Lonchura striata: one gene and its partners. The protein of the gene in region 3 interacts with the protein of the main gene of each other region in a pairwise test. Links are inferred from orthologs where the notes say so. Each region holds a gene or a part of one and is shown on either strand. Other genes may lie near its edges.

The links.
Region 1: the proteins of UBQLN1 (region 3) and TMUB2 interact in binary tests that used the Homo sapiens proteins (3 or more experiments, as listed by UniProt). The link is inferred for Lonchura striata from reciprocal best matches to the Homo sapiens genes UBQLN1 and TMUB2.
Region 2: the proteins of UBQLN1 (region 3) and RIC8A interact in binary tests that used the Homo sapiens proteins (3 or more experiments, as listed by UniProt). The link is inferred for Lonchura striata from reciprocal best matches to the Homo sapiens genes UBQLN1 and RIC8A.
Region 4: the proteins of UBQLN1 (region 3) and SRGN interact in binary tests that used the Homo sapiens proteins (3 or more experiments, as listed by UniProt). The two-hybrid records come from large-scale screens. The link is inferred for Lonchura striata from reciprocal best matches to the Homo sapiens genes UBQLN1 and SRGN.

What each region holds. Positions count from the first base shown.
Region 1 is NC_134627.1:8,666,598-8,673,809, reverse strand, and holds TMUB2 (transmembrane and ubiquitin-like domain-containing protein 2), read right to left. Parts: upstream 2,450-7,212; 5' UTR 2,397-2,449; intron 2,156-2,396; 5' UTR 1,866-2,155; coding exon 1,393-1,865; intron 1,127-1,392; coding exon 757-1,126; 3' UTR 558-756; downstream 1-557. Other genes in the region: ASB16 (ankyrin repeat and SOCS box protein 16), read right to left, coding at 2,946-3,131, 3,212-3,325, 3,396-3,888, 4,655-4,922, 5,199-5,505; HROB (homologous recombination OB-fold protein), read right to left, coding at 5,993-6,066, 6,186-6,378, 6,505-6,609, 6,987-7,072, 7,186-7,212.
Region 2 is NC_134608.1:53,231,719-53,239,107, reverse strand, and holds the start of RIC8A (chaperone Ric-8A), read right to left. Parts: upstream 3,041-7,389; 5' UTR 2,954-3,040; intron 1,584-2,953; 5' UTR 1,493-1,583; coding exon 1,409-1,492; intron 1-1,408. Other genes in the region: BET1L (BET1-like protein), read left to right, coding at 3,131-3,149, 3,815-3,906, 4,585-4,641, 4,860-5,027; VPS51 (vacuolar protein sorting-associated protein 51 homolog), read left to right, coding at 6,968-7,180.
Region 3 is NC_134642.1:26,244,764-26,252,718, reverse strand, and holds the start of UBQLN1 (ubiquilin-1), read left to right. Parts: upstream 1-4,812; 5' UTR 4,813-4,919; coding exon 4,920-5,075; intron 5,076-7,955. UniProt on the Homo sapiens protein: Plays an important role in the regulation of different protein degradation mechanisms and pathways including ubiquitin-proteasome system (UPS), autophagy and endoplasmic reticulum-associated protein degradation (ERAD) pathway.
Region 4 is NC_134609.1:34,918,808-34,926,482, forward strand, and holds SRGN (serglycin), read right to left. Parts: upstream 3,018-7,675; 5' UTR 2,981-3,017; coding exon 2,890-2,980; intron 1,107-2,889; coding exon 959-1,106; intron 819-958; coding exon 605-818; 3' UTR 461-604; downstream 1-460. UniProt on the Homo sapiens protein: Plays a role in formation of mast cell secretory granules and mediates storage of various compounds in secretory vesicles. Required for storage of some proteases in both connective tissue and mucosal mast cells and for storage of granzyme B in T-lymphocytes.

The DNA of each region.
Region 1 (7,212 bases), on a different chromosome or scaffold from region 3:
CCCCGCTGCTGCGGGGCCGCCGGAGCACGCCGAGCTGGCCTTCGTGTGCCCCGGGGCCCCAGGACGGAGCTGTGGGCACCCAAAAACACGGGGGACCACCCCAGACTGCCTGGGGGGGCATGGCGAGCTGGGGCTGTGGGGGAAAGGCATCCTGAGCCCCTTCAGCTGCAGGAGAGGCACTGCGATTTGGGGTCCAAGGGGTGCAGTGGGGCTTGGGGGGGTCAGACCGTGCCCTGTGACCCCCCCAGGTCGGTGTCCTTGCCCCCCCCGGTGTTTCTGCGCGTCCCCCCCGCAGGGGAACTGAGCCCTTGTGAGGTCTGTGTGTCCCGTGAGTGGGTTGTGGCTGCCCCTGTAAATAAAACTGCATCTTGACTTGGTATCCCTGGCATTAATTACAGCTCGTTAATTAAACAGGGCCTTTACCCCTCCCACCTCCATCTCCACCCACTCCATTCAGCACGGGGCGGGGGGGGGGGGAGCCGGATTTGTTTTTATAAGACCCAGAAGTGTGGGTGGGTAGGAGAGCAGCTCCCAGGGCAGGAAGGCGACCACTGGGGTGACTTGACACCCTTTATTTGCATTAAAAAGTCCTTGGGAAGAAGCCACGGCCCGTTCCAGTGCTGTCCAGCTCCCCCAGAGCTGGGGCTGGGGACCGGCAGTGGAGTCTGGGGGGGGCACAGCCCCTTTTTGGGGGGCAAAGTCCGGCAGCGAGGCTGGGACCCAGCGCGGGGACGGAGGCCGCGGTGCCGCCCCGGCTCACCCCGCCTGCCCGTACAGCCCGAAGGCCAGGAGGGTGACCAGCACGGTGACACCGATCAGCGACACGGTGGCCGGGGCCGTGAAGAGCTGCCGGTAGTTGATGCGGAAATACCAGCCCAGCGCCAGCACCACCATCACCGTGGGCACCATCAGCGTGCCCCCGGCCAGCGGCAGCCCCGGGGCCGCGGGGCCGGCGGGGCCGGGCTCGGGCAGGGCGGCGGTGGCCGCGGTGGTCCCCCGGGAGCGGTGGCAGTGGATGACACAGTTGTCGGTGATGCGGAGCGAGCGCAGCGTGCGCGCCTGGTCCTGCAGCAGCTGCCCGCGGTAGATGAGCTTCATCTGGGCCTCCTGGCCCGGGAAGCATTTGCTGCGGGAGGAGGGAGGAGGGTGGGGGCGGCGGAGACCCCGGACCCGCCCGGGGAGGGACCCGCCCGGGCTGGGAGCCCCTCCGTTAAACGGGGAGGGTTCACCACGGCACCGCCACCGCCGCCTCTTTCGAACTTGCTGTCTCAAAGCCCACACCCCCCGGTATTTTTGGCACATCGGGAGGGATGAACGCCCTCCCCCGTCCCGTGGGAAGCGGCTGTTCGCAGCGGGGGCCCGGCAGCGCTCCCCGCGTCCCCCGGCCCTCACCTCTTGAGAACCCCCACGGTGTCCTCGGGCCGGGCCACCGCCACCTCCTCGGTGTCGTTGAGGAACTTGAGGCGGATCTTGATGAGGCCGGGGCACGCGTCACCGGTGCCCCCGGGCTCAGCGGCGCCCCGGGACAAGCCGGGCGCGTCCAGCAGCTGCTCCAGGCCGGGCTCGGGGCCGCTCCCGCTGTCCCCCGGTGCCGCCGCCCCTTCCTCCTCCGTTTTCTCCTCCGCGCCCGCGGGGCTCCTGGGGGGCTCCGGGGCCTCGGCCGCCCCCGCGGGCCCCGCGTAGGGCGGCAGCGGCCCGAGGCGGATGACGGCCGCGTCCCCGGTGCCCAGGAGCTGGCTGCCGCCCTCGGCCACGTACGTGGACAGCCAGGCCAGCACCAGCGCCAGCACCAGCACGGCCACCCCGGCCACCAGCGTCACCTCGTCCCCCACCCCCACGATGAGGGGGGCGGCCGGGGGCTCCATCTCCGCGATGCCCGCCTCGACCTCCCGGTGCCCGGTGTGAGCGAGCGGCGCGGCGGCAGCGGGGACCCCCGGGGCTGCCCCGGTGCCACCTTCGGGCTCACAACAGACCCTGGGGCCGCTCCCGGTACCCGGAGACCGCAGGGACGGGAGCTCCTCGCTGCGGATTGTCCTCCTCGCTCCCGAGACACCGAACCGGCGGCGCTGCGCTCACCTCACCGGGCCCGGCGGAGAGTCCCGGGGGTGCCCCAGCCCCTCGGTGCCCAGCGGGGCAGGGTCAGGCCATCCCCGACCTGGACGGAGCAGAGCGATGCGGTCAGCGGGGCCCGGGCATGGCGGGGCGGGAGGAACCGGGGACGTCCCGACCCGTGCCCGGGGCTCCCGGTGTGTCCCTGCCGGTCCCCGTGATTCCCGGGGGTGCCGGTGCGTGCCCGCCATGCCCGGCCATCCCGGGGGGTGCCGGTGTGTCCCTGCCAGCCCCGCGGTCCCGGGTGTCCCCGCGGTCCCGGGGGTCCCGGTGCCCCCCCCACTCACCGCCTCCCGCCGCCGCCGCCCCGCCGGAAGCGCCACGTCACCGCGCGCCGCCGCCAGGGGGCGGCCGGGGGCGGCGGGCGCGCCCCGGGGGCGGGGCCAGAGGGGCGGGGCCAGCGGAACGCGCCCCGAGTGGGCGGGGCCAGCGGAACGCGCCCCGAGTGGGCGGGGCCGGCGTGGGCGGGGCCACTTGGGGCGGAGTCACCGGCGGGGCGGGGCCCGGGAGCACCGTGGGAACCCCGGGCTGAGCCCCCCCGGGACCGGAACCCCCCGGACCCCCCGGCCCGGCTGTAACCCCCGCCACGGCCCCCACATCCTCCGGGGCCCGTCTGTCCCCCCCCTGCCACCCAAGGGCTCTGTCCCCTCCTCCCCCGTCCCCACTGCAGGTGACGCTGCCCCGCTGGTCCCACGGGGACAAGGACACCTCGGGAGCCACCTCTGCCATGTCCTTTACTGACAGCAGGGCACGGGGAGGACACAGGCAGCGGACACTCGTGGGGAGCAAGGAGGGCACGCAAGAAGGGGGCAGCGGCGGGGACACATGGAGTGCCCTCAGGAGATGAGACCCTCGATGGGCAGCTGGAGGTAGCGGCGCAGTGCGGGTGGCAGCGCCAGCTCGGGGACAGCGGCGCGACAGCGGGCGCCCAGGTGGCGCCGGATGGCCACGCGGGCCAGGTGCTGCAGCCGCCGCGGCCGCCCCGCCATGCGCACGGCCGAGGCGTAGAACTCCCGGTGCTCCTGCGTGGGGGGACACGGGAGGGCTCGGTGCGCCGGGATGGGACACGGGCACGGCCCGGGACCCCCCAGGACCCCGTTACCTCCCAGAGCTCGGGGGGCACGGCCTCCGCCCAGCCGTCGGCGGGGGGCACGCGGTCGTAGGCGTTGAGCATCACCTCCAGCGCCGGCGGGTGCTGGCAGCACAGCCTGAGCATCTGCCAGCAGAGCCGTGTCACCGGGGTGACCCCCCCGGCACCCCGAGTCCCCCGTCACCCCGTGCCCCACCTTGGGGTGCGCGGGGAGGGCGCCGTGGTCCAGCAGCAGGGCCAGGATCTCCTCGGGCCGCTGCTCCCGGTACTCGGGCACGGCGCGGAGGGCGCAGTCCATGGGGGTGTCCCCGGCGCCGTTGGGCACGGCGGCGTCGGCGCCGTGGCGCAGCAGCAGCCGGGCCAGCGCGGCGTGCCCGTTGGCACAGGCGTTGTGCAGCGGCGTGTGGCCCTTGCGGCCCGCGGCCCCGGCCCGGGCGCCGGCCGCCAGCAGCCGCTCGGCCACGCGCAGGAACCGCTCGGCGTCCTCGGGGCGCTCGGCCGCCGCCGCCGCCGCGTTCAGCGGGGTCTCGCCCTGCTGGGTGCGCCGCTCGGGGTCGGCGCCGTGGTGCAGGTACAGCTCCACGTGGGCCGGCAGCCCGTGGCGCGCCGCCACGTGCAGCGCCGTCACCTGCCGGTCGCGCGTGCCCAGGTTCACCCGCGCGCCGTGCGCCAGCAGCAGCTCCGCGCACCTGGAGCGCGTGGGAACGGTGAGCGGGCGCGGCGGGGACACGCGGCACCCGTGGGACGCGACCGGGACGTGCCAGGGAGACGTGATTGCAGTGGGACACCCGCAGGGACACCCCCAGGGACACCCCGGGAAAGCCTGGAGTCACCTGGGAACCATGGGACACCCTCAGGGACACCCCCAGGGACACTCCGGGAAAGCCTGGAGTCACCTGGGAACCATGGGACACCCTCAGGGACACCCCGGGAAAGCCTGGAGTCACCTGGGAACCATGGGACACCCTCAGGGACACCCCCAGGGACACCCCGGGAAAGCCTGGAGTCACCTGGGAACCATGGGACACCCCCAGGGACACCCCGGGAAAGCCTGGAGTCATCTGTGACCTGTGGGACACGGCCAGTGACACCCTGGAGTGACCTGTCACCCATGGGATACCCCCAGGGACACCCCGGGAAAGCCTGGAGTCACCTGGGAACCATGGGACACCCTCAGGGACACCCCCAGGGACACCCAGTGACACCCTGGAGTGACCTGTCACCCACGGGACGCTGCCATGGGCACCCTGGAGTGACCTGTCACCCACAGGACACCCCCAGGCACCCCCCAGGACACCCCCCAGGCCCCTGGCTCCCAGGTTGCGTGGGTGGGGCAGGAGTGAGGATCTCACGGGCCCCTCCTGCAGTGAGCCCGCCCTGGCTGCAGGTGAGACCCCACAGGTGAGACCCTGCAGGTGAGACCCCACAGGTGAGACCCCGCAGGTGAGCCCGCACCTGAGGCTGTGGGGCGCGGTGCAGAGGTGCAGCGGGGCCGAGCCGTCGGCGCTCAGCACGTTGGGGTCGGCTCCGAAGGCCAGCAGCAGGCGGGCGCAGTTGGGGTGGGGGGCGGCCGCGCTGTCGTGCAGGGGGGCCCGGCCCCCCACCACGGCGTCCACGGCCGCCCCGCGGAGCAGCAGGTGCCGGGCGCAGGCCTCGTAGCCGCGGGCGGCGGCGATGCGCAGGGCCGAGGTGTGCTCCCGGCGGGGGCTCAGCACCCACAGCCCTGCGGGGGTCAGCGGGGGCTGCCGGACAGCCCGCACCCCGCTGGACCCCCCTCACCCACACCCACCCACCCTGGAGCTGGCGGGAGCAGTGGGGCGCCCATGGGGCTGCCCCGAGCACCCGCCCTGCCCCAGACTCCCTGTCACCCACAAACCGGAGCAGCCAGCCCCGCTCCCCCCGGAGCTGCACCCCCTTTTCCTGCCCCCCACTCGTTCTGCAGGGGAACGGGGGGGAGGGAGAAGCAGGGAAGGACCCCCAGCCCCATGGCCGGCCGTACCCTGCTCCGGTGACCACACCAGCTCCTCGCTGACCATCTCCAACACCAGATTGGCGCTGGCCTCGTCCCTGAAGATGCTCTGGACGCGGGGCAGGTCCCCGGCGTAGAGGGCGTTGTGCACGGCGGGGTCCCGGCAGAGCTGGCGCCGCCGCGGGGGGCTCGGGGGGGCGCGGGGGGTCCCGGGCAGGGGGCGCGAGGCCGGTGCCCGGGCCAGCGCCCGGCGGCGATCCTCCCGCTCCAGCAGCTCCCGCTGCAGCCGCAGCGAGCGCAGCGCCGAGGGGCTGAAGGCGAAGCTCTCGTGGGCCATGGGCACCCGGCAGGGCAGGGCGGGGGGCTCGGGGCACAGCTCGGGGATATAAATAGGGCCGTGCCCCACAGGCGGGTGTGCAATCGAATCCCAGAGCCAGGGGATTATAAATAACTCCTGGTGGTAAACAGAGTCACGGGGTGCAGGGCAGCTTAAACTGTTGGTGGGCGCGAGGTGGGGACGTCCCACGGGGAGGGACCTGGGGATCCCTGGTCCTGCAGGGCTGTGAGAGCCTGGGGAGACGGCTCCTCACACCCGGAGGAGCAGGGACCCCGGGAAGGAACAGGGGTGACACACGAGGACACAGGTGATGCAGAAACCAAAGAGCCCTTTAATGCAGGTTTGGGGGCCCGGAGCAGCGCCGAGGCCTCGGGGTGCCCCGGCTCTCGGCCCCACAGCAAACACCACGGACACGCAGGGAGCAGCAGGGGGGTGCCAGCCGTGCCACCTGCTCCTGGCACCGCCACCCTCAGCAGAGCTGCTGGGCTCAGCCGCAGTCAACCCGAGCCGGGGCTGAGAAGAAATCCTCGGGCAGCTCTCCCAGGAGCCCGTCCAGGTCATCTGCAGGCACAGAGGATGTCACTCGTGTGTGTGTGTGACCGTGGCACTGCTCAGGGGCCAGGCCCGGCTTTCCCCAGGCCGGAGAGCTTCTCCTCCCCTCCAGGGTGGCTCCGACTCACCCAGGTCACATCCATCCGTTCCCACCGGTCCTTCCCAGCCGGGATCAGAGCTCGCTGGGCGCAGGGAGGAGCCCCCGGGACGCTGCTCCGCGCTGGGTCCGCCTGTCCTCGGCTGTCCCCGGTGCTCGGGAGCAGGGACAGCCCGGGTGGGCCGTGCCGGGGGCTCTGGGCTCAGCTCAGCCAGGCCAGGGACCTGCAAAACCCAGCGGGGATGGATTCCTGGGGGATTTACCCAGCCCCCCCTTCTCTCGAGGGTCCCCAGAACCCAGACCCCCCTGGGGTCCCAGCAGCCCCCCAGGGCCGCCGGTGCCCCCCTGACCTGGCGGGGGGAGCAGCCCTCGGGCTCGGGTGGGAAGATCCGGAGGAGGTTGTTGGGGGTCACGTTGAGGTAGTGGTTGCGGTGGGAGGGGGAGAAGACCCCGACCTGCGGAGAGGGCAGACACAGCTCCTGGATAAACCCCCAAGGTACAGGTCCCCATTCATGGAAATCTCAGGATGAGGGGTGACATTTTAGGAATAGCTGAGAAAAATCCGAGGTGCAAAACCGTGGGAGATCCTTTTCTTGTATTTATATTTTTGATATTTTTTTATTCCAGAGTGCTATGGAACGGGAACAGGGACGTACCACATGACCACACCAGTTCCTCTTATCCCCTTATCCTAATATTTACATTCCCACTTCCAGGGTGCAACGGGGTTGGGAATGGCACAGGTGATGTGCTGTATCCCCCACCCCGCATTCCCCAGGGATGGAAGAGACCCCGCTGGGGTGGGACCAGCAGCCCCCCAGATTCTCCTCACCTGCCTCAGGAGCAGCACGGAGCCGGCCCGGAGCTCGCTCTGCCTCTGCTCCAGCAGCAGCCGGTGCAGGGTGCCCTGCATCTCCCCTGGGAACGAGGGGTGGCATCCCTGAGCCCCCCTGGGCACAGGGACCCCGGGCACAGGTACACAGGTAACCCCCGGGCACGGGGACCCCCGGGCACAGGTAACCCCCACTCACCTGTGGGGTCCCGGAACACGGCACCGG
Region 2 (7,389 bases), on a different chromosome or scaffold from region 3:
CACTACCAGGAGCTGATGGCCCAGTCCTGCCACTGCCGTGTTCCACAAGCAGGCTGCTTGTTCCCTCAGCACATCCTCTTTTCAGGCTGTAATCCCATTTGGGGGTATTTTGGCCACACCTGGGGTTTTGCTTTAGCTGTAGCATATTCCCAGCAAGCAAAAACTGCATGCACAACAGTGAATTAAAAACAAATCCAGAGGAAAAGCGTACAGAACCATTAGTCTTGCAGCAGAAGCAATGCCAGGCAGTGCCAGGTTTATCTGCAGATTCATAATCCTCTTTGACTGCTCCATTTCCTCCAGACAGGCCAGCAAACCCTGTGGCTGCAGTTCCCTAGGCTCAATACCCCAGGAAGGACCCAGCTGGGGGACTCCAACAGGAAATATCATGGTTTGGGGGCACACAGACACTGTTTGCACCTGCTGCTGGTGCTGTTAATCCTTAGTGCTGTCCTTAACAGACACCTGCTCCTTCTTGGCCAATATCTCCCCGTTCCAAATCTGACTGTTAGGAATAGCTCCACACACTCCCTCTCTCACACACTCTTGCAAAATATTCCTCAGGTTTTCCCTGCTGGCTTCCACCTACTCCAGCCTGGTGCAGAGTGAGTCAGAGTGATCCACAGGGCCAGCCCCTCTCAGGGGAAACCTCCGAGTTTCTCTGACAACTAGAGTCTGTTTCAAACAGGATTTCACAGAGCCATAGAATATCCTGAGCTGTAAGGAACCCACACAATCCATTCAGTCCAGCTCCTGGCTCTGCCCAGACACCACAACAATCCTACCCTGTGTCTGAGAGCACTGTCCAAATGCTCCTGGAGCTCTGGCAGCCTTGGGGCTGTGCCCATTCCCTGGGGAGCCTGTTCAGTGCCCAAACATCCTCTGGGGGAAGAACTTTTTCCTAATATAAAACCTAAACATCTCCAGCTGTTCCCTTGGGTCCTGTTACTGCTCAGAGAGCAGACACTGGAGCTGCCCCTCCACTGCCCCTCAGGAGGAAGATGTAAATGGCTGAGGTCTCCCCTCAGTCTCCTTTCTCCAAGCAGAGATTTACCACCACGGATTATCTTTTCCTACTTTAAGGCTAGAAACACTTCCATCTCTGCTTCCAGATCATTGGGGTTTGATATTCTACATTCTACATTCATTATTTACTGCTTTCAGAGCCATGCCCATATGAGATCCCAGCAGTTACCTCCAATCATCTTTTGACTTGCAAATCCCAACATCGTTTCACCTGCAGCCCCTCCCTGGATTCTCTCAGCACCTCCAAAACTACCTTAACATAAAAGCTCCTCCTACTCAGTCCTCACCCTGACTCTTATTTCCAGGCCAGGCTTTACTTGGGATCTTGATAATCATTTTTTTAGGAGTTCCTGAGATGAGGGAAGCGTTGATGCTCACTCACCTCTTGGTTGTAGACCTGGAGCACCTTGAGAACCGTGTCCTGCTCCCCACTTTCCAGCGTGGACACCACAGCCTGGAGCTCCATTATCCCAACAGCTCAGCTATGGCACAGCCCCAGAAGAAGAGGAGCAAGGGGATTTCCAGGGTGATGGAAAAGCAGCTCGGCACACAGACCTCTGAGAGGGAAGAGAGAAAGGGGTGGAGAGAGCAAGGAGGGAAAAAACACAACACAAAAAAATCCCAAGTGATATTGCTCACACTGCTGCATCCATAAAAGTGGAGCAGATGGATAACCCGAGCAAAGCCAGCAGCCAACTTCCTCTCTCTCTCTCCTGCTAATCCTCTTCTTCCTCGCTTTGCTTTTCAATGTTTAATATATGCCCTCGCAGGAAAGCACTCAGGGAAAACCTTCCCCCCACCAGCTGGAGATTAACGTGGAGCAGATAACAGCAGCTCCCTGAAATAGCTCCCTGCCTCCTCCTCCTCCTCCTCCTCCTCCTCCCCGCCTGCCCTGATTTCTGCTGCCGCACAGGGGGAAAATAACAAATAAAGCACGAAACATTGCCGCGGAGTGACAAGGGACGGAGCGGCGAGGCAGCCAGGCGGGAGAGCATCCTCCGGCTGCAGGCGGTGGGAAGCAGAGCAGGAGGGTTTGGTGGCGGGCTGGATCATGGCCGATCCCTGCAGGCCACCGCCGGGCGAGGATGTCCCTGCCGACAGTGCCAGCCAGCAGATGCGCAGCACCGCGGGATTATTTCGGACACGGCACCGGTTTAGCGGCTCACGGAGCCACGCGAGCCCAGGGCGCTGGGACATGATTCCCATGGGGGGAAATCCAGCAGATTTGAGCTCGGACATGTGTTCGGCTTCCGTGTTGCCATGAGGATGAGGCTGAGCTGGTCACACCAACCTCAACAAACCGGGATCCCAGGCACAGGGTTCCCGGGGTTTGGGAATCACACGGGCTGTCCCCTCCTGCCCACGCAGCCCCAGAGGGGCGTTTTGGGGGGACCAAAAGAGGCAGATCCTGCATTTTGGAAGGCGGACAGTTGCGGAGACAGGAGGCTGGGCTGGCCCGGGGCAGCATCCCCATGTGCAGGGGCTGGGATGGAGGGGATCCACCTCTGCTTTTGGAGGGATGACATTAACCAACGGATCATTGGGCATATCCCCATTTCCATACTCCTACTGCCACCTCCTTCCCTCACCATCTGAGTAAATTCCAAACCTCCTTTTTTGTCCCCATAACCCCGTTTATATCCCTAAACCCCTACCTTCCCCCCCAAACCTCTATTTTTGTCCCAAGCCCCTATTTCCCCCCAAACCTCTATTTTTATCCCAAGCTCCTATTTTCCCCTTAAACCTCTATTTCCCCACCCCCAAAACCCCTGATTATTTCCCCAAAACTTCTTTTTGCCCCCAGACCCCTATTCTAGTCCCCAAAGCCCTATATTTGTCCCCAACCCCCCGGTTTTTGCCCGCAAGGCGCTGTTTCCTCCCCCAGCCCCTGTCCCGCCGCTGTGCCCGGGCAGGGCGCCGGCCGTACCTGCGGCCCGGGATCCCTCGGGAGGGAATTCCAGCCCTTCCGCCCCGGCCCGGGCGAGCGGCCCGAGGGTCCCGGCGCCGGGGGGCAGGAGGAGGAGGAGGAGGAGGAGGAGGAGGAAGAGCGGGCGGACATTTCGTGGCGGCTCCGCCCGGCGGGGCGGGACGGGCCGGGGCAGCCATGGCGGAGCGGGGCCGAGGTGAGGGGACGAGGGACAGCGACAGGTTTGGGGGGCAGAAGGGGCTGGAGCGGCTCGGAGGGAGGAGGAACTCCCGATCCCACTGAACCCCGCGGGGCGTTTTGCAGTGCCCCGATTTCTCCCCCTATAGCCCGGGAATAACACCCCACCCCCCCCACCGCGTAAGCCCTAATTGCCTCCCTGTGCCTTTTTTGGGGTTCTGGGCTGCCCCCCCGAGCCCCTAATTGCTCCCTCTATCCATTAATTGTCCCCATGAATCCCTAAGCCCCCCCCCCCCATAAACCCTAAATACCTCTTAGAGCCCCCATAGCCCCTAATTGCCCCAGAACTCCTAATCCCCCCCAGCCCCAACCTGCCCCACAATGGGGGCAATGCCGAGAGACCCCAGCACGGCCGAGGGGCAGAGGGCCCCGGGTTTCACCCAAATCTCACCCCTGGATGTCACTGGCCATGGAACCCCCACAGCTGCTGCTGGGCTGGGGTGGCACTTCAGATACCCTGAATTCTGGCTTCTCACCCTGGCCTGTTTGGGGGAAGTCTGTGGTGTTTTGGTCACATTTTCAGAAGGTTCCACTGCACAAAGCATGTGTGGAGGGGCTGTGGTGGGAACAGAGCTGTGCTGTGGCACGGCAGGCATGATGTGTGCTCCTCGTTCTTCTCCCCAGGGCAGAGCCCGAGCGCCATGGAGGACCTGCTGGATGTGGAGAACAAGCGGATGGCCGACAGCCTGGCCAGCAAGGTCACCAGGCTGAAGTCGGTGAGTGCCGAGGTCACAGCAGGTGTTGAGGTGAAGGACAGGCTCTGATTACCTGGGAGTCCTGCAGGGGATCACAGAACCATGGAAAGGTTTGGGTTGGACAGGACCTTAAGGCTCATCCAGTCCCACCCCTTCCCATGGACAGGAACACTTTCCACTAGACCAGGTTGCTCCAAGCCCTGCCTAACCTGAACACAGGAGTGTTGCTAAGCTCACATCCTTGGGGAAAAATTAATGGAAAAAAGGCAGGCAGATTAATTTTGGAAAATACCTGTGTCTCTGTGTAACTGTTCTTAATGCTGGTTTGCTCCTATTAACATCAAACACTTTGATTTAGAGCTTTAAGCTCTAAATTATTATTAAAAGTGTAGTACAAACCATGAAAGAAGTTGATGACTCACTGTGTAAAAGGGCAAGCTGAATTCCTGCCATTGTGTCCCAGGGTTTAAACTACCTTCTCTAGCTGGCAGATTTAGACAGCCAGGCTTTATTTTCAGAGCTGAAAAAGTTCACCTGACAGGGAAATGCCATTTTCCTTGTTCCTGCACCAGACAAGCCCCTGTGTGTCTGTTGGAGCTGGGAAAGCAGCAGCTTGTTTTAATAATTTGCATTTCAGATTTTAGAGGTTCTCTGGACATTAAAAGCTCATTAATGCCCATTTCCTGCCTTGCCCTGCAGCTGGCTCTGGATATTGACAAGGATGCTGAGGAACAGAACCGCTACCTGGATGGCATGGTAAGGACCTGGCAAACGGGACACGGGGCTTTCTGTGCAAATCAGGGAATTGGGATGAGAGGTGGGACGGCAAAAGCCCTTAAGGAAGAAGCCCTAAATCAGCACTGGGATTGTTGGGGTGTCCTGTGCTGTTGGAGCTGGACTGGCTCATTGTGAGTCCCTACAACTTGGGAAGTTCTATGATCCTGCAATGCCTCCAAGGTGTCTCCTCCCACCAGGACTCGGATTTCCTGAGCGTGACAGGGCTGCTGACGGGCAGCGTGAAGCGCTTCTCCGGCATGGCGCGCTCCGGCCGCGACAACCGCCGCCTGCTCCTCACCGTGTCCGCGGTGCTCGTCCTCATCTTCTTCATCCTCTACTACCTGGTGTCCCGGGCGGGGACCTGAGCCCGGGCTGGCAGGTGGCACAGGCCAGACCTCACCATCCACAGACCTGGCCACATGTTTTCCAGAGGAGCCTCCAGCCACACCTCCACCTTCCCAGTGACTTCTCCTTCCAGCTTGTCAGCGCTCCGGCTGGGCCCAGGCAGCTCTTCCAAAACAAGTTTGGCTCCAAAGGGATCTTCGTGTCTGTCAGGATTTTGGGGTCATGGCTCTGGCCGTGACCTCCTGCCTTGTCTCCATCCCGTGGGCTGTTTCTAAGGGCCACTTCCACATGACCTCCCTCGATCAAAACCAGGAACTAACAAATCCAGGGACTTGTGGATACTCCATAACCCAGCTGAGCTTTGCGAGCTGTAGGATTTAGGATGCTGACTTAGGGGATTTGGGAGTACCAATGTGTGACTTACATTCCGTGTGGCCACTCTCCATTTCCCTTGGACTTGCAGACCATATCCCTGGGCTGAAAGGAAACTGTGAAAGGAAACTTGTGCATTGCTAATCCGGGTGGAATTAGCAATGGATCTGGGCCTGGATACTCTCACATTGTAGCAGGGAAGAGATGCAGGAGAGCGGGACTTTCATTAAATCCTGGCTTGGTTGTCTTTATCATCCTTGTGGGCAAACCAGGCTGGACCCTCTGGGAAGGGAGGGCCACAGTCCATAACCACATGGATTTGCACTTGTGTGGAACCTTCCAGAACCTTCCCACACATGTGCAAATTAAGTTACTAAATCAGGGTAAAGAATACCGGTGGCAGAAGGTCCAGTTAACTGTGGTTAACGTGGCATCCTGCTTTTAGAGCACTTTGGGGAGATGTAGTGCCAATAAAGTGAGGTGGAACTCCCCCCGCAGTGCTCTTGGGAGTGGGGGGATCCAAGGAGGGATTTGCTGTTTTGTTTATGCATTTAGAGAGTACAAAAGGAACCCCTGCTTTACCTTGGAGGGTGTGTTTGCTTATTTGCTTCTCTTTTCCTGTAACAGGCAGGGCTCAGCCATTCCTTCTCCTCTGATTTAGACTCTCCAGCAAACCCTCTTCATGGATGGATGGCTGGGTGTTCCTTTGCTTTCTCCCTGTTCCCAGTGGGAATTCCTTTGCCCTTGGGCTAACTCGGGCCCATAGGTATGAAGAGAATGTTGTCCCATGTACCAAACTGCTCACAAAACACACCCTGGCTGGATTATGTGTTCTCTTTTCCACATTTGGGAGAAAACGTGCAGGAAAGGCAAGGACAAAAGAGGCAGCAGGAGCTTCCTCTGGCTCTTCCTGCTTTCCTGGTGCAACGTGGCAGGTCTGGGCTCTTTCCTTTGGGAAGAATCAACGGCCTGTGATTCCTGGAGCAGGTGACTCCCAACAAAAGGCCCCTGGAGCAGCCTGGCCTTCACCGTGGCAGGGTTTATTTTGCCTTTTCTGCTGTAAATAAAGCTGATTTTAGACCTTTTAGCCCAGATGTTTGTTCCTTGTGCGAGGTGCAAGGTCGATCACCTGGTTTTACCTGCAGCCTCACAGCCCAATTCCAGCGTCACCTGGAGCCACCCTCGGGTAGGGTGGGGGTCCCCAGGACCTCACCCGGTGTGAGGGGAGAGGAGCACGAGGAGGCACTGGGGCCTCGCGGGACACTGGGGAGGCCTGCGGACAGGTGGAGAGTGGTGAAAAGGGACAGTGAGAGACATGGGCCCGGGGTTAAGGGTGCCAGCGGCCGCTCAGCCCTCGAGGGTCGGTGTCTCCACCCATGTCTGCGTCCGAATGAGGATTCTTGTCGCCGTGGGGCAGCATGACACGGGCCGCGCCGGCCCCGTCCCCGTGGCAGCCGCCCCAGGCCCCGGGATCTGGGCTCCGCCATGTCCGGCGCCGCTTCCCCGTCGCTATGGCAACCCGGCGTCTCACCGGAAGTGACGTAATGGACAGGCCGGAAGTGGCTGCCGGGGCGGAAGCGGCGGCGCGATGGCGGCCGTGACGACGGGGAGCGGGGCCGGGAGCGGGGCCGCAGGCAGCCCCGAGGCCACCGGCGGGAGCACCGGGGGCGGGGGGTGGCGGCGTCCCCACGGGCCGCTGCAGCGCTACTATGGCCCGTCCACTGCCGAGGCGGCCGAGGCGCCCCCGGACCCCACCGACATCAACGGGCCCCACTTCGACCCGGAGGTGTTCATGAACAAGGTGGGCATGGAGAACAAGGGTATGAAAAAGGAGACTCCTCCCGCGGGCACCGCCACCTTGGAGAGGGCTCCGGGACTCCGATGGGCCTCGGGATGTCCCCGCGGGGCCGCGTCACGAGGGATCTCGGTGGGTGGGGGAGGACCGCGGGGTCCCCACAACCGTCGCGCACCCAGGATCCTGAAGAGATCCCAGAAAGGGCTGTCTCGAGC
Region 3 (7,955 bases):
CAGCATGAGCTGTATCCATAAACTGTGAACACCCTGTGATGAGGAATATCTCCTTGCTCTTTCATCTAATTTCTGCTTGAAATCACTTCTTGACTGCAGTGCAGGATTCTACTGTGTAATGTCCCTCACTCTGCTAGACAACAAGATAATGTGGCAGAGGCAGAAGTGTTTGGCTGCAGCAGAAGTCAACACCTTGTAGCATCACAACCAATGGGCAAAAGGAACATGTGTGACTTAGGAAAGGCTTAATACTTGAATATGCCTGGAGTCATTCTTATCTGCATCAAACAAATGCTCTAGAACAGGCAAAATCTGGAATTCCCTTCAGCCAATCTGTGGTATTCCTATTTTAAGGTCTCTTAGCAAGTCTTCAAATCTTTAGTAAAAATGTTAAGAGTTGTGGAGCCTACCATGCTGTATTACAGAGTTTTTTCTACTATTAGCTGAACCAATCTACAAAGGGTGTTGAGAGGTTATCCCAAGAGCAGAGCAAAGCAGCAAATCATCTTGTGATTCAGAGTATTGGATGGGAAACATCCATTCTCATCTAAGCAAAAAAGGACATTTGATTCTACAGTTCAGCCACATACATACTTTACACCAAAACAGGAAAAGACATCTTGAATTTCCTGAGATGCAAGAGTATTTTGGGAGAATGCCTAATTTGGTAATGCAGTTTTAAGTTGTGCTTTAAGTTTTTTTGGTCCAAGTTTGAGGAAGGTATGATTTCCTGCTGTGGAATGCTACCTTAGCTGCGGGAATTGTAATTTTCTCTTCTTCCCCCTCCTCCCCTCCTTCCCACGCATTCCCCCTTTGTCCTGTGACTCAGCCCACCCCTCCCCCCTTCCCATGCAGTCCTTTGTCCCAACCCTGCGTTCCCATATCACTCCCCCTTGCCACACGGTCCGGTCCCTCCCCCCCCACCCCTTTACCATCGCCTCTCTGTGCCCAGACGGGGGCTGTAGCCTTGCATGTCCCTGGCGGTCGGGAGGCTTTTTCTTTTCCAAGGAGGACGCCACCTCACTCAGTCTTTTTGGAGTAATTCATACTGGAAAGCTCCTTCTCTTTCTCGGAAAGCTACCTTTTCTACCCTCTCCTCCCTATTCTGGGCTTTGGGGGTGAGGGGATCGAAAGGACACCAATGGTACAGAATTGTAAGCGACGACACGTCAGCTATGGGAGAATTGTTAACATCCTAAGGGAGGCCCTACACATCCATGCATTTCATCAGCTTCCAGCCACGTCGGGCCCCTCTCCTGTAGTATTCCCCTTCAGCTTCTGTGAAGCTTCCCCTTCCCTTTTCCCCACAGACTTCCCCAAACCTTCTCCCTTGGGGATGGCAGCAGCCGAGCCGCCCCAAGCGCCCTGCCGGACACTGTTATCCTCCCTTAGGGGCGGCACTGGCCGTGCCTCCCCGGGTGAGATGCAGTGCACCCAGCACCCCCTCCCAAGATGGCGCTGGCCATGCTACAGGGATCCCATTTTCCCACCTTGACCCTTCTCTTCCACCCCAAGTTTTCCCGCTGGCCCAACCCCTCCCCGAATGGCCCTGCACCATCCTGCAGTGGGCCAGCCCCTATTGGGGGGAGGTGAGGTTGGATTAATCCCTCAGTTCTTCTTCTGGCCCCCCTCTGATGGGAGGGATCACCAGAGGGGTCCCTCTGTTAGAGGACCTCCCTTTGTAAGAGAGCTTGCCCCTTTGCTGTGGGAAAGGGGGGGGGTTCAAAGGGAGTGGAGCTGGAAACCCGGACCAGAGCTCCACTGTTTCTCTTTCCCCTGAAACAGTGACGCCCAGGTTCTCCCCTCTATCCCATCTAAATGTACCTTGCCCAAAGTTCCCTTATTATTTCAATGCAAGTTTTCCCCATTGCTTGTGATAATTTGGAAATAACTCCTTGGATTGAGATATATCTTATAGAAGGAAAGATCATCCTCTCTAATTACTGCCCACAATGGTATGCCAACTTCGCAATCAAATAATCAAATTGGAGAAACCACGTTGCTGTTTGGTGCCTGTTTCTGCTCTGCTAGTATGCGAAAAACCACAAGCATCGCATCATGAATCCTGCTTTCATCCTCGATACAGAATGTGTTTATGATAATTTTGTACTTTGTCTTAAATTGTAATGTGGAAAAAATTTTTGCTCCATTCATTGATTGGTGTATCACTTTCTGATGTCTCTCTACTTACATTTTCTCAGTAATTTGTAACGTTGCTAATTTGTTTTTACCTCAGAACTCCCTTTCCTTTATGTAAATTCAAAAGACTGAGCTGCGGGGTTTGTAATTTTCTCTTCTTCCCCTCCCATTCCCCCTCTCCCCTTCCCACATGTTCCCCCTTTGTCCTGTGACCCAGCCCACCCCTCCCCGCTCCCCCGCGGTCCTTTGTCCCGACCCTGCATTCCCTTATCACTCCCCCTCACCACGCGGTCCGGTCCCTGTCCCCCCCCCCTCCCCTCCTTTCCCATCACTGCTCCTACTTCCCTGGGGTCTCCAGGGCTCCGGGGTCTCCAGGGCTCACCCTGTCTCCTGCCCTGTCCCTATTGGCTGTGGCTCAGGTTCCCCCACCCTGGGGTATAACCGACCCCTGGGTCAGTGTCCGTGGTCTCGGGGACACACTCCCACAATAAACACGTGTCTGCCCCCGAGCCCCGTGTCATCCTTCCGTCTGTTCCCACACTAGAACTGAGCCTCGCAGAGCAAAAGGGGAAAAGCGGCGCCGTCTCTCCCTCCCGCCATGCTCCCGCAGGCACCTGCCCAGAGCCGGTCTCGCACGGCAACACTTAGCAATACCTTTAAAGTAGTAAATGTCTAGGATGTATTCTTCTTTAGCTGGGGCCAAGTAACTTAAAGGCAAAAGGTACTGAATTATTTCATTGATGTACATTCACAAACTATGCCAAGTTACTCTTCTTGCATCTTCCGACACCAAACCCCTGCATCTCACTACAGGCCTCTGTGACACCTCATGTCTCATGGATTGGAGCTCCAGCAAACCACAGCTGCACGGCCAGCACCTGCACTCCCAGACCCTAGTTGGGAAACTGGTGACCTTCTGCATGGACCTCTGGAGATCACCATCCAGGCTAAGCCTTCTGCCAAGGGAAGGTCAGCTAGAGCAGGTTACACAGGAACATGTCCAGACAGGTTTTGAATGCCTCAAGAGAGAGAGAATCCATGACCTTCCTGGGCAGCCTGTTCCAGTGCTCTGTCATGCTAACTGTAAAGTTCTTCCCCATGCTGAAGTGGAATTTCCTGTCTTTGAGTTTATGCCCATTGCTCCTCGTCATGTTACTGGGCACCCCTGAAAAGAGGCTGGCACTATCTCTTTGTGAAAAACGCCAGTCACTTGTTTAGTTGATAAGTTTAACAGGAATAAAATAGCTATTAAAATAGTAGCAAAAATTAGAGCAGTAAGTATTTGGACAATAAAAAGCAAAGAATTATGGATGTCTGGGTGCCTTGCACTCTGCCACAAAGCACACCTTGCTAAATAAGGATTACCCCTTAAAAGCAATAGCCTGTTGCGTATTCATAATCTCATACATGATTTAAAAATTCAAACAAAGGATTTCTTCTGCTTAGAAGGATTTCTTCTGCTTACTCCCACCTTCGTCTTGTAAATTAGTCATGTTGGTCCCTTGGAGTCTGCGTCTTCCCAATAAGGAGGCAGTAATTATTCTCTTGGAATTTTAGTGTCTTGTTGCTGTTATCCCTATGCAAAGAATTTCTTAATTATCCATTCCTTGAGCTACTTGTAAAAAGAATCTTACATCACATTTCTATTTTAATATGCTATTGCCTAAAACTATATTTACCACATTACTTAAAAGAGATTAATACAGCATAACTTTCCAACATAACACCTATAGTATTCATTTTAATATTTGCGAAGAGCCAATCATGTAATATGCATTTTTCACACTCTTTGTATCCACCTTTGAGATATTCACATATATTGATGAATCCCCTCTCAGGCTTCTCCAGACTAAACAGGCCCACCTCCTGCAGTCCCTTCTCATACGAGAGATGTTTCAAGCCCCAAATTGTCCTTGTGAGTCCCACTGGACCCTCTCCAGTAGCTCCTTGTCTCTCTTGTACCGAGGAGCCCAGAAGTGGACGTGGCGCTGCAGTGTCCTCCCAGAGTGCTGTCCGTGGAGGCCGGCACAGCCCGGAGCCGAGGCGGCGGCCGGCACAGCCCGGAGCCCAGGCGGCGGCGGCCGGCACATCCCGAGCCCAGGCGGCGGCCGGCACAGCCCGGAGCCCAGGCGGCGGCCGGCACATCCCGGAGCCCAGGCGGCGGCCGGCACATCCCCGAGCCCAGGCGGCGGCCGGCACATCCCGAGCCCAGGCGGCGGCCGGCACAGCCCGGAGCCGAGGCGGCGGCCGGCACATCCCGGAGCCCAGGCGGCGGCGGCCGGCACATCCCGGAGCCGAGGCGGCGGCCGGCACATCCCCGAGCCCAGGCGGCGGCCGGCACATCCCGAGCCCAGGCGGCGGCCGGCACAGCCCGGAGCCGAGGCGGCGGCCGGCACATCCCGGAGCCCAGGCGGCGGCCGGCACATCCCGGAGCCGAGGCGGCGGCGGCCGGCACATCCCGGAGCCGAGGCGGCGGCCGGCACATCCCGAGCCCAGGCGGCGGCGGCCGGCACATCCCGAGCCCAGGCGGCGGCCGGCACATCCCGAGCCCAGGCGGCGGCCGGCACATCCCGAGCCCAGGCGGCGGCGGGAGCGCTCCGCTGGGAGTCGCGCGCCGCCCCTTCCAGTACCTTCCCCGGTGCGTGCGTCATCACGGCGCGCGGCGGCCGGGCCCAGCCGTTTCCGGTGTCGCGGGCGCGTCGCGAGCGCTCGGTTGCAGCCGCCGGAGCCGGGAGCCGAGCGCGCTGCCCCGCCCCGCCCCGCCCCACCGGGACACGGCGATGTCGGACACAGCGGACGGGCCCGCGGGGGGCCCCCCTGGCTCGCCCACCCGCGACTCGGCCGGTGACTCCGAGCCGCGGATCATCAAAGTCACGGTGAAGACTCCCAAGGAGAAGGAGGAGTTCGCCGTTTCCGAGGCCAGCAGCATCCGGCAGGTGAGGGGCGGCGCGGCGGGCTGCGGAGCCGGCGGGGCGCGCTGGGGCCGGGCCGGGCGGAGCGCCGCCCGGCTGGCAGCGCCGGCCCGCGGCTCCCGGCTCGGCTGCGCGGGGCCCGGGCCCTGCCCAGTGACAAAGCAGCTTCTGCTCGCCCGGGAAGGGACTGCTGCCTTCTGAGGAGGGCGGGGGCAGTGGAGAAATGTGCCGCCTCGCACCCTCCTCTCCCGCTTCTCTGTTACACTGCAGAGGGCCGGTTCGGAAGCTGGATGTAGCTCATTCGTCAACTCGTTGAGTCGTAGAAACGTGGGGGTTGGAAGGAAACATCAAAAATCTTCCAGTTCCCCTGTCGTAGGCAGGGACACTTTCAGATAGACTAGGTTGCTCAAAGCACCATTCAGCCTGGGTTGGAATACTTCCAGGGATGGGCCATCCACAGCTTCTCTGGTCAGCCTGTTCCAGTGCCTCACCACCCCCACAGTAAAGAATTTTTTCGTAATAGCTAATCTAAACCTACTCTCTTTCTCTTTGAAGCTATTGCCCCTTGTCCTGTCAGCACATGTTCTTGCAAACAGGCTTGCCTCATCCTTCCTGTAAGTTCCCTTCAGGTGTTGGAAGGCCACAATTAGGCCACCCCAAAGCCTTCTCTTCTCTCATTTTCTAGCTGTGAGTTGTCCTGTTCAGCTGACTGGCTTTGGTGGTAGTTGTCTCACTGTCTGGCTAACATGACTGTAGAAAACATACACAGTTACTTGTATCTCTGTATTTCCAGTGTTTATTTTGATCTAACACTGTCTTTAAAGACAGTGAGTAGGCCTTGAACTTTGGGAAGTTGTAGCCTTGTACTGTGTTTGCAAAATCTTCAGTCTCCCATACTCTGATGTGCTAGTTACAGATATAGTACTTAGCATGGCATGGTTATGTCAGATAACCAATTTATTAGGGCTTTTGTGCCTTCCTGTGAAAGTCTATGCTCCAGCTGCCTTTGTCTCAAACTAGTGACACCTGCTGATTCATCCACACTGTTTCGTGCAAGTCTTCTATTTTTTCAACTCTTTTAGTAGGTTTGCTGTGCAAGTATTGACTAAAAATTCATTTACTTAAATTAGAAAGCAACAAATCATAGCAAAGCTGCTATCAAAATGTAAAAATGCAGAGACTCCTGCTTACAAAGAATGTAGGTGTTGCTAGATTCAGAACTTCTTTTGTTTTCCATAGGATTTCCCAGTTTTCACCTTGAAATGGCTCTAACTGTGTCAACTTTGTGCTATTCCACATTTTTTTGTGTGACTTTGGTATTGCAGACTTCATAAAAAAAGATAACATGTCTGAAAGCGTCACTTATATCTAGATACAGAACTTGACATCATTCTTTAAGTGTGAGCTGAAGGACACTGATTGGTTAATAGAAGAGGATACAAAAGATTAAGTAAAATCTCCGAAATTTCAAATGTAGTGATAGCTATTCAACTAGACTGTCAGACTTTTGTTTCATCTAGTTGCTGTGAATAGAGAAAATGCTAATATTTCTTTGAGGTTTTTTTTGTCCTTGTGTCTAATCTACATTCAGTTTTGTTTTGCAATGTTGGTTTTTTTTTTTTTTTTTTGTACATCAGTGTTTGGGCTAGAAGTGTCCCAGACCTGAGTTTCATTGAGGTTTTCTCAGCTGCCAATGCACTGAAGCTGCTTTCTTGTCCTCTTGTCTTTTGGCAGCTGCAGTGTTGTGTGCAGTGAGCTATTCTCTCTGCAAGCTTGATCTAGGCATTTCTCCCAAAAGTAAAAAGACTGTGTTTGCTTTTTAGTGTTTTCCACTGCTTTCCCAGCAATCTCAGTCTGAAAAGGGTGCTTTCCACTTCTCTGTTCTCCATATATTTGTGAACAGCAGCAATGCAGTTTTTGTAAAAGTCTTTGCAGTTTTGGGGCTTTTGTTTTGTTAGGATATTTTAAAAGAGAGATTCATAAACTTAATATAACCTGAGGATTGTGTTTGTCCTGTAAAGCAATCAGCCATTAGCTGGGTCCTTTGGAATTAATAAAGAGATTTACTTTAGCTGTGAATCTTGTAATACATTTGACTTTAACAAGTTTGTTTCAGATTTGAATACTGGCGGATCTGCCAGGTTTTCAAATAAACAGTTGTCATAAACTGAAATGGTTGTACAACCTATCAAGCACATGAATTTTTACTGAAAGCAGTCATACAAGTTTAGAAAATTAACAGAGGATACTACTTCAGATGTCTCTGTTGTCTACAGATACCTTAAACTGTGTTTTCTCTCTTGGCACTGCTGTTAAAATATTAGATGTGCGGTTATGACTTAATTCTTGTGAAGTAAGATTTCCCTGCTGGGTTGACCATTGGATTGAAGTCTCAGGCAGTGTAACAGCACAAAAAAATGCGCTGTCCCCATAGAATGACTAATACTGGCTTTTTCTCTTAAACTGCAAAAATGAGCTGTTGATTATAATAAGTATAAACAATAGATGCAATGTTTCTAGAACCAGCCTTGAGAATAGGTTAATCTCAAATACCAGGCGAGTTGCACATCTGTTCAAGTGCATCTGGGATCAGCAAGTGGTTTGTACAGTTGAGATAAGTGGGCCAGTAGCTTGTAGGCTGAAAGGAAAACAAAACAAAACAACAACAAAAAAAGGCAAAAGAAACTCCCTCAGTATATTTTTATAGCTAACATTAGAACTTAAAGAATTGAGCTGTTTATTTCTTTACGGTCATTTCAGGTACTGCTAGAACATGAACCTAGATTTTCTAAGAAAATATTTTGTGTCATCAGGACCAAATTTAGGGCTAAAAAAAATTATATTTTATGTTGTCCCATTAATGTCAACCACGTCTGCAACTTTTCTGTCAAGATTTTTTCCTGT
Region 4 (7,675 bases), on a different chromosome or scaffold from region 3:
ATGGTACGCGCCCCTCCGCGGCCCCGGCCCCGCGCGCACCACCACCAGCGCCCCCGGCCGCGCGCCCCTGGTCATGTGACCTTACGGGTCTCCCCCCCCCTCCAGGCCACGCCCATCCCGCGCCGGGACCACGCCCCGCCGCACGTGACCGCCCCTCCCGCTCCGCGCCCGCCCCGGGAGGGCGCCGCCTGGCGGCCGGGAGGCGGCAGCGCTGCGGGGTCCCCTCAGGAAACACCCGCGGGAATAAATCTTTCCTTTTGGCAGGACTTCGCTCTCGTTTTCGGGAAACGCGGTTGGCTGACTGCTGTAAAAGTGCAGGCGGCTCCCAGCGCACAAAGGGTTGGAATTTATCCCCTCAGAGCACGATGACTGCCCCACAGAGCTGGCTGCTCACCCATCGCTCTTGCTCCCCGCATTGGGATGGCTGCTGCACGCGCACACATAAAAAGGCACTACAGACTGAACAACAATGCTTTTAGTAAGTGCAAGCAGTAAAAATCTTAAGGCAGAGTTTTTATTGATGCTGGTTTAAAACCGCTTCGTGGCTGTCAGGTGAGGCTCTGGGGAAGAGGCGAGGGAGCGGCAGGTGAGGACGTCTCCGGCCCTACAGGAGCAAATCCTCCTCCGACAGCTTTTCCTTCAGCTCGCTGCCTCGCAGGCTCTCCAGCAAGACAGGCAGCTTCGCCTCAGAGAAGCTGTCATTGTCACCGAGCCCCGACCCAGAGGCTGGCTCTGCTTCCACCACGGTGTTGGACCCAGAGCCAGAATCCTCATCCGAGAGAGGGAATATATCGCCCAAATCCTGGTATCTCTTCATCCTGAAACACAGAGTGGCAATTTTCTCTCTTAGATGAACACATCAAAGCCTCATGTTACTGTGGGCGAGCCATGCTGTGACAGGACTGTCAAGGCAGGAGTCATACATTTTGGGGTGCAATCATGTGGCAAATGAACTTACAAGGACGGGTCTGCCATGGGAGGAAGGATCCTGTTGGCCCCACCAGAGGGCATGTAAAACCAGGGCCCCTTCTCTTCGATGCAATTAGCAGACCAGGTGTCAGGCCGGCACCTCACCCTCTTGTACCTCGCCCTCTGCATCGGAGCACCTGATGGAATCAGCCACACATTGTCCATGAGGACCAGGACATTATTCAGCAGGTCCTACAAACTTTATGAGCACCTGATAAGGCTTAAAGGAGTGGATGAAAGTAATTTGCGTGGCCCTGATTGCTCAACCTCCGGAAAAGTAAAGTAACCCTGAAGGCTTTTTTTTTAAATGGTTACTGACATCCTAAGTGACATTTTTGTCATCAGAGACATCAGGCACATCTGGAACACAGCACCAGGAAGTCCATGGAAAATCCCAGGGAATCCCCTCACACACAGCACCAGGAAGTCCATGGGAAAGCACTGCTGTCACAGCAAGGCTCATCGCCAGCTCACAGTGTGGCGTAACCACGGGGGACCTGGGGGCTCAGCCTCCTGCAGCTCTCCTTGAAGGTGGAGGTATGTGAAAATAATGTGAAAACCTCTGGGGACAAGGCACCCAGCAGAGAGCTGTCTCCTGTGCTCTCCCTCCTCTGTTGGTTCCAGCTCTGCCCCTTCAACAGGCTGACTTTTGGTGGGGACATGAGAAACTCAAGGTGTGCCAAAGGAGCAGGTTTGGGGTTTATGGAGGCTCTGGGAGCACTTGCCAGAGGAGAGACAGTTCAGGTGTCTCCTAGACACAACAAGGTTTTGTAAACCTGGGTTTTCAGTTCTGGTGCTCCCCAGGTGCCTGACTGGGGCTGTCACTGAAAATGTGGGTCTTCAAAAAACACCAAAATGACAAAAGAAGGATCACATAATAAAGATAGAAGCAGTGACATTTCATCCTTCCTCTTGGTCTCATGTAATTAATTTGTTCAGAAACCTCCTGGTGCATTCTCAACCTGTTGGCATTTATCTATTTTTTTTCTCCGTTTCCTGGGAATATCTTTCTGTAATTACACTTCTCTATTGCCCTATATATTTCCATAATGTACTGGATGACTTTCAGCTACCTCCTACACTCTTCTGCAAAAGAAAAAAGATCTCACGGGTTTAATTTTTTGCTGCCTCTACAGTATATTCCTTTTTCATACTTATTTTCTTCTCCTCACCTATTATTAAGAAGGTTTTTAATAATAACAGTGGCAACAAAACAAACAGCTGCAGCTGAAAAATTTGCAAATAAGCAACATAGAACAAGCAGGTCATAACCCCTCAAAGATCAGCCTCCGAGTGGTAATGCATATTGAGAGCCTTTAACTATCACAGCTTTGGTTTATGGACAAATGATACTCTACATGCTTGAAGAGCAGTTTTTCTCTCATGAGAAAAAAAATCCATGGGGCACAGCATCATGAATCAATATTTCCCTTTTGTCATTTTAGTGGTGTATGTTGCAATGCTTTACGGAATAAACCGTTTAGTTTCCTCATACTTACAACTAATTTCCTTTCCTGCTCCCCCAGAAAGCAGACCATAGGAGTTATGACATGAGAACTCTTACACACTATGTCTGTAACTCATAACTGAGTAACAGCAGTAACCAGACCACTATGGAAGGGACACTTAGAAAAATATATATTGAGATATATAGACTGAAAACATATACGCATGCAACAACATATTTTATGAAGTCTTTTCTCAAAAATTGAAATGCTCCAATTGTAAAAAACACATTTTCTTGGCATTCCCCCCCTGCCCCCACACACACACCCAGAGAAGGAAACAGCAAAACAGACTTTCTGAGTAGATCTTATTACCCCCAAAAGAAGGCCATTTTGTAAAATTCAGAGGTTGCTTACTTGGCCTCCACTGCATAGCCCAGAAAGAGGATTACCGAGAACAACCGCCCCATTTTACCTTGTGCTGTGTATCCCACAAAGAGGATTAAACAAATAGCCAGGAAAATCCTCCCGTTACATCTGATAAGGAGCTGCATCTTGGCTGGCATCCCTCTGCTCGCAACCAGCCTTCACCACAGCGTCACACTTCAGAAATAAGACGGGGCGAGGAGATCGACTTTTAGAAAAGTTTCCAAAACCTCAAACCCAACCCATAACCTGCGTCACCACTTCCTGATTGATGGGAGTGAGACATGAACAGAAAAGCCCAGCACTGTGGCCTTCCTGCCTTCATCAGTCCAAACTAAAATCTTCTCTGCCTTCATCTCCTGCATTTGCCCAAGCAGGAAAGCAAACCCAATACCCATGATGTGGACTGAAGGTGGTGCTGCCAGCAGCCCGTGGTCAAGGCACACATCCCACCCAGCCTCTGCCCAATGCTGAGAGGGCTCCAGAGTGAAAAAGCAGTGCTTAATGTTCCCCTATTTTAGGTCCAAAAACTGCATTTTTGCATTAGCACTGGCACTGCTTTTCCCTGCCTCAAGCCCTCACCAGTCAGGTTAGAAGCCAGCTACTCACAGTCAGTACATGTTTCACCAACTGGGGAATCATCTTTTTCCACAGAAGTAAATTATCTCTGGAATCTCATGCCAGGCTTGAGGGTTCGCTTTTTTTGGTCTTTTGGGTTTTTATTTTTTGGTGGGTTTTTTTTTTTGTGTGTGTGTGTGTTTTTGTTTTTTTGAAAGCAGAATCATAGATATTTGCAGTGGAAGTGAAAAAAAATGTATTAAGTTAGATAATATATCCTGGTAGAAACATATCAACTCCTTCTGGAAGAGCATAGGCAATTTGCTTGGCCAGATTATCATTGTGTGGTGCAAATGCCCCAGGGAATGTGGGAAAGGGTTTAGATCACATGTGGCTCCACAAGGTACACATCTGAAAAGCCATGAAAGCTCTTATATAGACAGAAAATAGAAGCTCCCTTTCAGCTGGCTCATAGCTTTTGCTTGCCTTTTGGCTGTGATTAAACCAGCCTTGAGTTCACTGCAGAAAAAATGACAAACAAGGAGGTTATCAAAGCAGTGAAGGTTTTTCTCAGTCATACAGAATGCTGCTGGGTTAACTGGTGCACGTGTGGGCCTGACGTGCTGCAGAACCTTGTCGCTCCTGGGGCTGATAGTGCAAGTTGTCTGTGGTAAATCTATTTTTATGTGGTGGAAAGTCCGCAGAGGCCCCCAGTGGGGATCTGGGCTGAGCAGTGACTTTCCCCAGGGCATGATGTTCCACCAAAATCCCATGAAGCAGCAGAAGAGACTCCAGCAACTCCCTCCCCTCTCCAGGCTGGGATTTATCACTGGACTGAGGAATTGAGTTGCGTGTTCAGTTTTATGACCCTCTGCGCACGGGGTTTTTTCTCTGGCATGGGAAAAACAGGAGATTCAAAAAAGCAGGTGCAGAAGGGCTCATGTGCAGTGGGTTTTATTGCCACCCATATTTCTACTTTGCCTTTTTAGCATCAGCTCTCTTTTAATTTCTTTTTGTTTAAGGCAGTGCTCAGCATCAATAGGAAGCTGAGCAAACACGGGAGGGAGATGATCAGCCTCCCCTTGCTGGAGGCTGCAGAAACCATCCCTGCAATAGCACCTCTCACTCTCCGCTGTTCACGGGTACACGCTGACCTGTTCCATGCCCTCCTCTGTGCACAAACAACCCCCGTGTGAGGAAGAAAAACTCCACTGGCTAGTTTTGCCCTTCCCATCAGCCCAGGGCACTTGTCCCCATGGCACTGGATGCCCCATGGGATGAAGCCAGAGCGATGCCCACCAGTGGGCAACTGGGGATCCCACGGCAGCTGGGGGAGCCGCTGTGGGTAGGGGAGCTGCACATTCCCTGCATCTGGAGGGAGATCTTGAGTTACCTGTCTTGTACCATCAGCTGATGGGAGAACTTGTAGCACTGGCAGTTTTGCCACACAGTTTTGTTATTTTTTTCTGTCTGCAGCACACTTCAGGAAATGAGCTCACTTTACAATTGGTAGCTGTGGGAAGTCCAAAGCAAATGTTTTACCCCTGTCTCATGTACATCTGCCCTGAAGCCTGCAGGGGGGGGCAGCCTGTGCCCATCTCCTGCCCTGCTGTGCTCTGCCAGTGCCCACATCCCGCTGCACTTGGCGAGGAGTTTTCCATCTTCCTAAAAACATGGAAGTGATTGGAGACCTAGATCTGAAACAGTCTGGAATTTGCAGGAGTTAAAAGTAAAGCATTCCCTTTGTGGAGTGCCATGGGATGCCCAAGGAATACCATCTGTAAACCACTTAATACATACAATGAAAATAATCAGCTCTAATTAAAAAAATCTAATCTTGGGCTAGAGGCCACAAACTGCTGAAAGTTAACAAACTTTCTTTTTTTAAACAGAGAACAACACATGAGCCAAACTATATTGGAACACTGACCTTCAAACGTGCCATGGCATGACTATCAGAGCTCAAGAGAAACAGGATTTTAAGTTAAATATTTTAAATCTGCAGAGGAGAGCACAGACACCATACCAAGGTCAGCTACCTCAAATTTGCCTTCCATAAAATGTGAGAAAGATTCATAGGATAATGTTCTTCCTGCATAGATCCTGTGTATGCAAACTGAAAGATTATATATTCCAACAGAACACGCTTGCAAAAAGAAGCAAATAAATGAGGAGCAGGTATTTGAGAGCACAGTTTGCTCCTGGAGTCTTGCTTACAGCTCCTGCAGTGAAGTGCTGCCATTATTTTCAAATCACATGCAAAGCACATTTCTTAACCTGCAAAGCTCTTGCGTTGGATTTTTGTAAGGCATTAATTTGGGGAGCGGGGAGCAGGTGGAGGGAGAAGGCTGCCTTGACACTGTGCACCCAGACCCCTGAGCAGACACCCAGAACTTCCCATTATGCCTGAAAAATCTGGGAGCAGTCTTACAATAAACACTTCAAAATCTAAAGTGAGGAACTGCTCCTTAGTAGTAACTTTCAGGGCTGTTGTATCTCCCAGCTGGCTCAGGAGTAATCACTCATTTAGTAACATCACTAAACGTGGACCACACTGCAGGAGTGCCTGGCACAAGGACATCTACTCTGCTGAGGAAGGCAGAATATGGGGCAAAAGGAAATCCCAGCAGGAACCCAGAGGGGCATCATGGGGCTGTTTCAGCCAAATCGGACATCAACCCCTTCTCTGCTCGAGCCCAGGTAAATGCTGAGGGAGCAGATTGGTCCAGAGGAGTAATCTGACATAGCAGTGTCAGGCCACTCCTTCTGCTGCTTTTCCTCAGCAGGCAGTACAGGTTTACTTTGCTGCCTGTATTCCTGACAGGCATCCAGATGGACAGATGGACTCCCATGGGTGCAGGGGCACCCCCAGTCCCGCTGCTTATCAGAGAGGCTCGAAGGCAAGGCACTATCTGTCCAGGCAGAGTCCTGATAAAGAAGTTTCTCTTTGACAACTGCTCAGAAATCAGATAAACCGTAACTGCTGTGGGGGTCGCTCTGCTCTCAGGGTCGGGTTTTCCCCTGCCTTAGCTGATAGGAGCTTGACCCTGGCTTCCATGGGAATCCAAGCTGAGCCCTGCAGCCCTCAAACACTCATCCCCATGGAGCAACAAAGCCAGCAGACAGCTGGAGCAACTGGGGGGATCCTGAAGCGCTGTGCCCTGTCTGTGATGCTCAGCTCTTTATTTGCTTTGCTGAGAAAGTAGAAATACATATTTTTTACAGATCACTGCTCTGAGGAGCAGCCAGTACAGAAAAGGCTACATCTCTTACAAGCAGAGCTGGAAACAAGAGTGAAGAGAGAATGATAGCAACAGGAAAAAAATAGGGGATAGACAGAGCACAGGGGAGAGTGTCTGAATGGCAGCTGGGTTGAACACAAGGACCATTTGTTTTGACTACCTTGCCTTTTAGGAAAGCAGAACAGTTTTCTTCTCTGACACTCACTGCTCAAGTGGGATGAGATTCGTGAGACTTGGATATCCAATGGGCCCTGAGCACATTGATCCATCTCAGGTATACCCATGAACTGCACTGTTAAATGCCTAAAATCACCGTTGATAACCTTCAAAAGTGAGCTGTCCTCCAGGCAAGCAGTCCTTTTGCCACCAGCTCATGTTCAACCAACCAACCTTTGGGGACTGAAAGCAAAAGTCTCCCTTCTTCAAAATAGCAAAGAGCTGGCAACCCAGAGAGAGAGGTTTGGGTCCAGCTGAGGGGATTTCTAAATCCAGCCCTGAGTAAAAATTAATTCTTCACCTGGGTCACATCTGAGCTCAGCACCTGAGCCATGTTCAGCCCTGCTCCCAGAGCATCACAGCCCAGGCAGCCCAAGGCAGCCCAAGGCACCCCTCGTCTCTCGTGCCACCGCCTCTCTCCTCTGAGGGCAGCATCAAGGCCTGGTCCCTGCAGATAAGATTTGGATCTTGTAAGAAAGCACTGAAGAAATTTATCGTGTAGAAATCAGGCACTCACTGCCATCTAGATCTCACAAAGGAACAACTTCTTTCTTCCCATGGTGAAGTCAACAAGTGCAGGGGGAGATCTTTGCTGGAAAGCCACAGCTGCATCAAAATTGAGCGCAGCTGCTGACAGACAGGAAGCTGCCAACGATCTTTCCCCATCAGCAATCTTCCCTCTCTCCCAGAAACTTAACCAAGCAACAGGCCTGTCCTTCAGGTGGAAAAAGCAGTTTTCCTTGCTGCTGAGACTGTTGATGCTTTCTGCTTCCACCTGCTGAAGCACAAAGTAGCAGAAGGCTTTGGCTGGCAATTTCA